Linked DNA regions of Arabidopsis thaliana. The protein of the gene in region 2 interacts with the protein of the main gene of each other region in a biochemical or structural test. Each region holds a gene or a part of one and is shown on either strand. Other genes may lie near its edges.

Evidence for each region.
Region 1: of the proteins of HIS4 (region 2) and MBD9, one has a biochemical effect on the other in vitro, tested with the Arabidopsis thaliana proteins (one study listed by BioGRID).

The regions. Positions count from the first base shown.
Region 1 is NC_003074.8:171,146-176,357, reverse strand, and holds the start of MBD9 (methyl-CPG-binding domain 9), read right to left. Parts: upstream 3,169-5,212; 5' UTR 3,043-3,168; coding exon 2,528-3,042; intron 2,105-2,527; coding exon 1,417-2,104; intron 1,327-1,416; coding exon 214-1,326; intron 109-213; coding exon 1-108. Other genes in the region: AT3G01450 (ARM repeat superfamily protein), read left to right, coding at 4,979-5,212. UniProt on the Arabidopsis thaliana protein: Probable transcriptional regulator that acts as a histone acetyltransferase. Mediates the acetylation of histone H3 and H4 of target loci (e.g. FLC). Involved in an auxin-independent regulation of shoot branching and flowering time.
Region 2 is NC_003071.7:12,328,831-12,332,309, forward strand, and holds HIS4 (histone H4), read right to left. Parts: upstream 1,230-3,479; 5' UTR 1,125-1,229; coding exon 813-1,124; 3' UTR 515-812; downstream 1-514. Other genes in the region: AT2G28725 (forkhead box protein G1), read left to right, coding at 1-113. UniProt on the Arabidopsis thaliana protein: Core component of nucleosome. Nucleosomes wrap and compact DNA into chromatin, limiting DNA accessibility to the cellular machineries which require DNA as a template.

The DNA.
Region 1 (5,212 bases), on a different chromosome or scaffold from region 2:
AAACAAACCATCAAACACTGGATTGATAAGCTCCTGTTCAAGGTTTTCAGGTGAGAAAGCCTCTTCAAAACCCAAAATTTCATGGAAACGCCAGAACACTTCAGATACCTAATTAGGCAAGCATAAAAAATGACTATCATATATGTGCGGCATGACTTAGTGAATGGAGGGGTAGGTTGTAGATTACCATATAAGGAAAACGTATATCCGTACCTGAAGGAAGTCACCAACAAGCCCAGGAGGGAGCCTCAAACACATTGGCCTCCCAGGAGGAGGGTGTAGATTTCTGACACCATGACCACCATTTAGTTTAGGCTTCTTGGCTTTCCGAGAAATCTCACCGAAAACTTCGTCCTTGACATTTTCCCCACCTTTTGGTTTGACCACTAGCGCTCCTTCCGCTACAGTTATAGGAACAGAAGAAGAACTTCTACTCTTCAGAGTCCTATAATTCGTACATGATTCGGCACCAGGCATATGTTCAATCATTTCCTGTACAAAATCTGCATCAAGTCCAAATCTGTTTTGATCGAGCCACCTTGACAAAGCATCAACTACTGCTGCAAATTCGCTTTTATCCTTTTCACCACACGTGACACTGCAAGGAGCCAACGAACAGCAAAATTTTGACAACGATAAAATTACATTGTCTTTCTCATTCATGGTATCCCAGTTGATTTCACTTGTTTCTCTGTCAACATGCTTACATAGGAAATTCAGGGTACCCTTCTGCTTCAGTACAATTGAACATGCATCAACAAGTTTTTGAGACACTTTTTTCCATGCATCAGACAATGAATCTTCTTCCACAACAATGTCACCAATTTCAACCCCATGGTCCTGATCATAGGATAAATTTTTATCAAAATCTACTCGAGAAGAATCAACCTCTGAGCGCAGGGAATTGACTGTCTTGGAGAAACTCTTCTCACGTAAACAAGACAATATATCATCTCCAAGAGGTGGGCAGTGTTCCGAAAGAAGGATCTCAACACTAGCGTCATCATCACGCTCTTGAGTACTATCTCTACGATTACTAAGTTTGTCACTGTTCTGTTCCACCATTTCATCAATCTTTGGGCAGGAGAAGACAGTTGATCCAGCTGGAATAAATGATTTCGAGCATGGTGACCGTGTAACCTTGAAAATGGGACCAGAATTGCCATCAGATACTTCACATGTAAATAGTGACCCCGTGATCTTGTCATGCCAGCAGGACTTATATCCTATTGGATAAATCACGTTGACATTATGGTAAGACTGTCTTATGTCAATTCGTCCAAGCGACAGAACAAAGAAATCTTCAAACTGCATCGGACATCCATTCTGAAAATCAAATACACAAACATGAGGGTAAGAATTACAAAAATATTGGAAAAAACAATCAATCAGGAGAGATTTCAATTTTACGCTTACCTTAGCTTCCTCACAACCGCATCCATTATTTCCAGAGCTAAGAGAACCACCAGCCTGAAAATGAGTACCAGATTTAACGGCGAAAGGAGACATGGTCTGACCATTGAATGGAAAACGCCTGAGTTGAGCACTCACTGAACTACCCTTTTGCTCAGGGAAACCATTGTTTGGCCATCTTGATGTCTTTCTTCTCTTGGGCGTATGCAATCTTTCTTGAAGAAGAGAATTCTCATTCCTGATTTCAGCATCCATACAGCTGTAGTTACCATTAATTGCCAAGCCCAGATAACAAGCAACTTCTTGTATTGAACTAAATGTTTTTCCATTCGGAGCACAATACACTGCACATAACTGATAACCATTTAAAGGTTGTCTGAATTCGACACGCCAGCCATCTTCCAATACTCCATGCCTTTCAGATATGAAATGCCTGAGATTTTGCAGAAACAACTCACTTGGATCCAAGGATGGAAATCTCATGGGCAAACTACTATTGTTCAAGTTTAATGGGAATCCAAAACCTAGATTATGTGAACCCAATGCATCCATACTCATTTTAGTATTACGAGACATTAACCCTGAAGCTTCGAGACTAGCATGTCCTCTACCGAGACTTGAGAAGCTTGAATGCATCATTGCATAATCAAAAGAGTTTCCAATGCAAGAGCTGCTGGCGAGCATATGCTTTCTGGAGAAGAAGAAACAAGCAACCACATGATCCATCAGTGCTTTACAATTTCGGCTATGTGTTTTCTCAGACATACTCATGTTATATAAGGCCAGACAAGTCCAATCAAATAAAGTCTAAACAACTGATTGAAAATATATCGTATGTATAAGTAATTCATAAGAGAAGATCAAAGGCCCCTTAAAAACTCCAACGAACGGTAGCACAGAACGCTCAACTTATACTGAAACTTAAATTCAACAACACCAAATCCTAGTCCAGCTTAATCTTCAATAGTTTATCGCTTTAAAATCGAACACATTACTCGCAATACATGTAAAGACAGCTTAACCAAGTCTTGCAACTATGTTCTCGATCTCAACCCAAATTCAATTCTTATAAAACCCTAACGCATCGTCGAATACCAGAAGCAGGGGAACGTACCTCGAATCAGACGTCTCCTCAGCTCCGTATCCCTCAGCATCACTGGGCGGCGAGGCGTTCATGTCCAGAATGAGCTTGGACTTAACCCCCAACGGCCACAGTTTGCTCCTCTCGCCGCCAGTACGACAGTCGCTGCACATCCAATCGGCGGAAGGAGCCGCCTCAACTCCATCGTTGACACAAGACATATGAAAGCCTCGCTCACAGGCATCGCAGACTACAACGAGCTCTATAGACTCAGGTCTTCCACACGCGCCGCACGAAGCATCCCGATCCGGTTCAGGAACCTCGGCAGGGGCTCCAGGGGCTGGGTCCGGGTTATCGTGAATTGACCTAACAACTTCAACAGGTTCATATTCGCCGTCGTCATCCTGACCAGCGGTGCAACCACCGCCGAGAGTAGCGCCGGTAGGGATTTCGTTGAGATCGATGCCGAGAAAGGAGCGACTCTCTTCCTTGACAGCGGCGGTCTTAGTGTCTCCGAGTTGCTCGTTAGTAGAATCAGTGGGTTCCATTATTCGATTAGGTTAATGGAATCGAGCATTGTTTGCATTGAAGACGAAGAAGAAGAAGAAGAAGATTGAAAACAAAACCAAATTGCGAGAAAAAGAGGTTTTCTTATTAAATTTTTTTCTTTTTTTTTGTCCACTTTTCCCGAAGTTCTGTTTGGAGAGAGAAAACAAAAAAACGTGAATGAATCCTTTTACCCTTTTTTTTTCTTTTTTGTGTGTGCCTTTTCCTAATTCCTATCACTACTACTACTAAACATATTTTCGAAGATGCTGCTACTCACGTAACGCACCAAAAGTTTAACCTAAAAAAAATGTTAATTATTGTATGATGCTAAATTTATGTTAACTTTAGAAAAATTTAAACTTGATTGTACTTGTTATCAAATTTACGGAAGTTTATAAAGTAAGATGTTGCTTTTATATTGATGTTGGTACAACGCGATAAAGATAAGTAGGAACTAGGAAGCAATAGATCTCCTCCGTAGTCAAATATGTGACTCTGTGTCAGAAGAAAAGGTAAAGAATTAAAAAAACCATTGGCATCACGAGGAAAGTAACTCGAGGAAGGTGTAATAAACACGTTAATGATACTACTAATTTTAAAAAAAAATTAATTAAGAATTAAAGCAGTATTCTTCTTCTTCTTCTCCCTTTTAAGTTTTAACAACAAATTTTACTAAGTACTAGTCTAATCAACCGATTAAAAGAGTCGACCAACTTTTGAATAGTGTAACACAAAATCAAAAGTAGGAGGAACACAGCGACAGTTAACAGATTTGTAAACACTTGTCACCTACATCTACCGGCCCAACTTAGCTACAAGTCTGCAACATCTGCGACAAAATATTTTGGAACGTGGTGGATTCGTTTTATCGATCAATGTATGCTTTCCTTGTTAACTATTTCAATGTGCATTTTAACATTATTTGTTCTAGTCATTTCATTTTTGGTTTTCAGTTTGTAACTGATTGATACAAATAGTAGCAATTGGATACGGTGGGTGGCAGCTTTGCAACATGTTTCTTATCTTATATTTTCAAATTTGCACTCCTCATGTGCATCAGTGCATGTAACATGTGATGTACTTTATACGTTCAATTTATTTCGTTTAGTAGAAAATAAAATATTTCCACACCAATCCAAGTTTTTACGTATTAAAAAATATGTATATACCAATTCCATATCTAAATAAAAATAAAAATGCATATCTAGTCCGAGGGTATTTGAGGAATTTACAATAACCAACCAAAGTGTATCAGAGAGAAGGAAAAGAAAAACATTAATTTCGCCCAAGATATGCCGTACAAATGGGTCCCCTCCGTTGGATCCATAAAACGACGTCGGTGTAAACGAGTATGACTACGACGACTCTACTACGAGTTGCGAACTGTTGGCCGGAAATCAATTTCGTCGTCTTCATCGACTCTTTCTCTCCCTGAATTTTCTCTGGCATTTCGAATTTATAGAGGTACGCGAGTCAAATAATCTTCACTATTTACTCTTCAAGTTAGTAGTCATCGATACCGCTTGACTCGCCGCTACTTTTTCTATTCTTCTGCGTTTTCGATCTTTCGCGGTTGCAGTAGTTTACGGCGCCGGAGTTAGATTTCGGACTGCGAGGATTTGTTTGAACTTTTTAGAGTCCTTGAGTGGGATCGAGGTTTTTTGCTTTTGTTTTGAGTAAATTTCGTAATTGTTTGAAATAAGATTTGGGAATGTAGATAGATCTCTGCTCTTTAATGTTATTGCTGTTGAACTCTCATAGTAATGTGTTTATCTTACCATTTCTACTTTGAAAGGGTTTCATTGGGAATACTTAATACTAAGCTAGAGGTCGAAAATTCATCTATAATCTTATCTTTGGTTTTGTAATCGCAGATGCTAAACTTATGTTGTTTGTACTTATAATGGCGTCTTCTTTGTTACTTTTCAGGTACGCATGGCTGCCAAGGCTTTAAAAGATTTGAAGAATCTTCCTGTCTCTGAGAGGAATATCGACTATAAAACAAAGCTTTTGGTTGGCAAAATGAATGGAACAGCTGAAGATAAACCACCACAAAACTCTGTCCCCTTTGATCACAATCATCCTAAAGGCGATGAGATTGAGAAACCTGAGGCAGAGAGAGTTATCGTAGAAATTGAGTATATAGAATCCAAAGACTTGAACAATGTA
Region 2 (3,479 bases):
ACGTTTTTTTACCAACGATATTCGCAGGAGTTATGGTCATTGCTTCTGTTTCTTTATTACGATCATGTTTTGGTATTGAAGGTGTTGTAGAAGAAATCGAAGAACAATGTTGATGACATTTTCGTCATATCTATGGGTTATATGTATGTAATTGATATTAATTAATCAATAAGGGTCCTTAGCTCAGTGGTAGAGCAATTGACTGCAGATCAATAGGTCACCGGTTCGAATCCGGTAGGGCCCTTTCTTTTTTGTTTTAGAAACTGTTTTCTTGTTTATATTAACCGTTCATTTTATTTGATCTGACGGTGATGAATGTATCGTTACAAATATGTGTTGGATCGATGACGTGTCATTAGATTTCACAAAACTCTGAATAATTTTCACAACAAATTCTTACACTAGGGAATGCGAAAATGATTTTTTGCAAGAAATATTATAAGCCAATTAAGTGTATGAATCTTATATATAAAGCTAAGAACTTTAAAACGCTCACATTGAGTCCATATTTGTCATTCGATTCTTATACCTCTAAACTTTAAATTGCTCACATTTAGTCCTTATTTGTTTTTCAATCTTCAAAAACATAGTTCAATCAATTCCTTTGATTAGTTTTCGATTGATAATCCTTTACCATGAATTTCAGAGATTAAAGAGTAATTAGAGCAAATGGTACTTATCATTAATCCATTACAATGCTGCCCTAATTACAACACAAAACGAAACCCTAAAATTCAACCCAATTTCTGGAATTTCTTGATCGCAAGACTTAAATCATCATCATTCACCAGAAAACCCAGATCTCAAATTGATCAACCACCAAATCCATATAGAGTTCTTCCTTGTCTCTTCAAGGCATAAACAACATCCATAGCAGTCACCGTCTTCCTCCTCGCATGCTCAGTGTAAGTAACAGCATCTCTAATCACATTCTCCAGAAAAATCTTCAACACACCTCTCGTTTCTTCATAGATCAATCCACTGATTCTCTTCACACCTCCTCTACGAGCAAGACGACGAATCGCTGGCTTTGTGATTCCTTGAATGTTGTCTCTTAGAACCTTTCTGTGTCTCTTTGCTCCTCCTTTGCCTAACCCTTTTCCTCCTTTTCCTCTTCCTGACATTTTTGTTTTTCCAGAAAGTTTTAAGATTTGAGTTTTCTGATGAGTAGAGAAGAATTTATTTTTTATTTATAAAGAAGATTGTTTGGGTTAGAAAATGAATCGTGACCGTTCGTTTTATTGTTTGATCGGACGGTCAAAGATAACGATCCGTGAGAAAGGTTTATGAGATATATGGATCCTTGATTATTAATGAATCGACGGTTGTAGATTGGGTTATTATGTTAGTCACGGATTGTGGATTTTTGATTTTTCCTTTTGAACCAAGTGAGTCAACCGGACCGGTTATATGTACTAAATTACAATGGATATCGAAAATAATTAGTATAACTATGGAGTATATTTTACTTTTACTTTTCAGCTACCATAAAAAAAGGTAAATTCTCAGATCTCTTTTTTTACTATCCATATATTTTAAAAAATTTAAAAATTGTTTTTTTACATTATTATTATTTGGACAAGTTGAATGCACTTGGAAAAAAAAAAAAAACATATTCTACTATAAGGGTTTGAATCCAAATGTGGTATAGTGGATATGTTGAACATAACTCCATTGAATTAATAGAAACAATTACTGTGTACTAACCGTAAGAAGAGACGAGACTCTATTTTTGTTGGAATGTTCTGGTTTGAAGCATTTTTACAGGACAACGTAAGGATGTGTGCTTTAGCTAGAATGAAGCAATGTCGTTGTAAGGAGGTGACGATTATTATTCTAACTGAAAACCATATTGTTATAAAGCCCTTGAGCTCCAAAGCTCTTGTATATCTAGTCTTTTTGTTTTCTCCTTTTTTTCTATAACTCAAAAACTCCACTGATGGTAAATTACAAGGTGTTGTTCTTGCTGAAATGTACTAGGATCATATCGATCTCGAAAAACTCGTAAAACGTGTGTTCTTGATTTAATCTCCAAAGTGAATACCATGAGTGTTTGTCATAGAATTCTCAACAAGTTGAAGACTTATCTAAATCTTGAAGAATGAACTCAAAATTTCTGTTATAAGATTTCTTTCAACTACAAAATGATATGCAAAATATTGGTATTAGCTTCATACCATAACTAGACGCACAAATCTTGATGAAAGAAACTTGCAGCCAAGAAATTCCTTCATGAATCGCATTCAACACAAAGCTCATCAAAGATCAAAACTCTGCTCTTCTCCAATGGTTTTTTCTTGCAAAGTCAACTTGTTAAGGTATATTTGGATCGGTCCTTTACCAAAATGAAAGAAAAAAACTATTCCGCTGCCGGGTTTGAACCCAGATTTCATCATTGAAATAAACATGTGTGCTACAGCGGATTGGTTGAAAGTATCTCCAATTAACTAGTATATACCCTGTCTAATTAATACTCTCTACCTATCACGTGTTAAGACCGAACACATATTAAGAGAAAGAGAGGAGAGCCACTAGTTTTGTTTAAGTGTTCTCTTAACAATGTGTGTTCTTGATTCAATCTTTTAAAAAAATGGTGTGAGTGATATATAATGTGGTTCTTTGATTGTACCAATTGACATATACTAGATTCATAAATCAGAAACTCAAACAAATACTCAGATTAAACACCACTATTAACTATTATCCGTTAATTTGACAAAAGAGTTTTGACTATCCCAATTTTCACAAGATATATGACTCATTCTGTCAACTAAGCACAAATCATCGTAATAACATCTTAGTAACAACATGTTAGTCGTATTTGGAAGAGATAAGCACTATCTTGATGGATTTAGTTGGTCCCACACTAAATCCGGAAATTATACAATTAAATCCGGGTATTGGGCTGCGCGAGATTTGTCTCGTCCTACTTGTGACCTCCCTTTTTAGGGACCGAGTGTTTTTGCACTTCAGGCACAAGTATGGAAGCTTAAAACTACGCGAAACCTTATGCATTTTGCGTGGCAATGTATCACGGGGTGTCTAGCCACTTGTCAAAGACTTGTCTACCGACATATTGGCACAGATAAAGGATGTCCTCGTTGCGGAGCGGAAGAGGAGACTATTAATCACATCCTTTTTCATTGTCCGCATTCCAGACAGATTTGGGCATTGTCACCTATTCCCACTTCAGGGCACCTCTTCCCTAGGAGCTCCCTCTTCTATAATTTTGATTTTCTCTTCTGGCGGGGCAAGGAATTCGGAATAGGAGAGGATGTTCTTGAACTCTTTCCATGGATACTTTGGTATATATGGAAAAGTCGTAATCGATTTTTGTTCGAGAATTTTAAAGAACCTCCTTTGGAGACTTTGGCCTTGGTGATCAAAGAGGCAATTGCCTGAAAACAAGCAAACCAAAAAGAAGTAGCCATCACAGAGTCTATTTCACTTCCGGTTCTGGCACATCTCCCTCCCCCTAG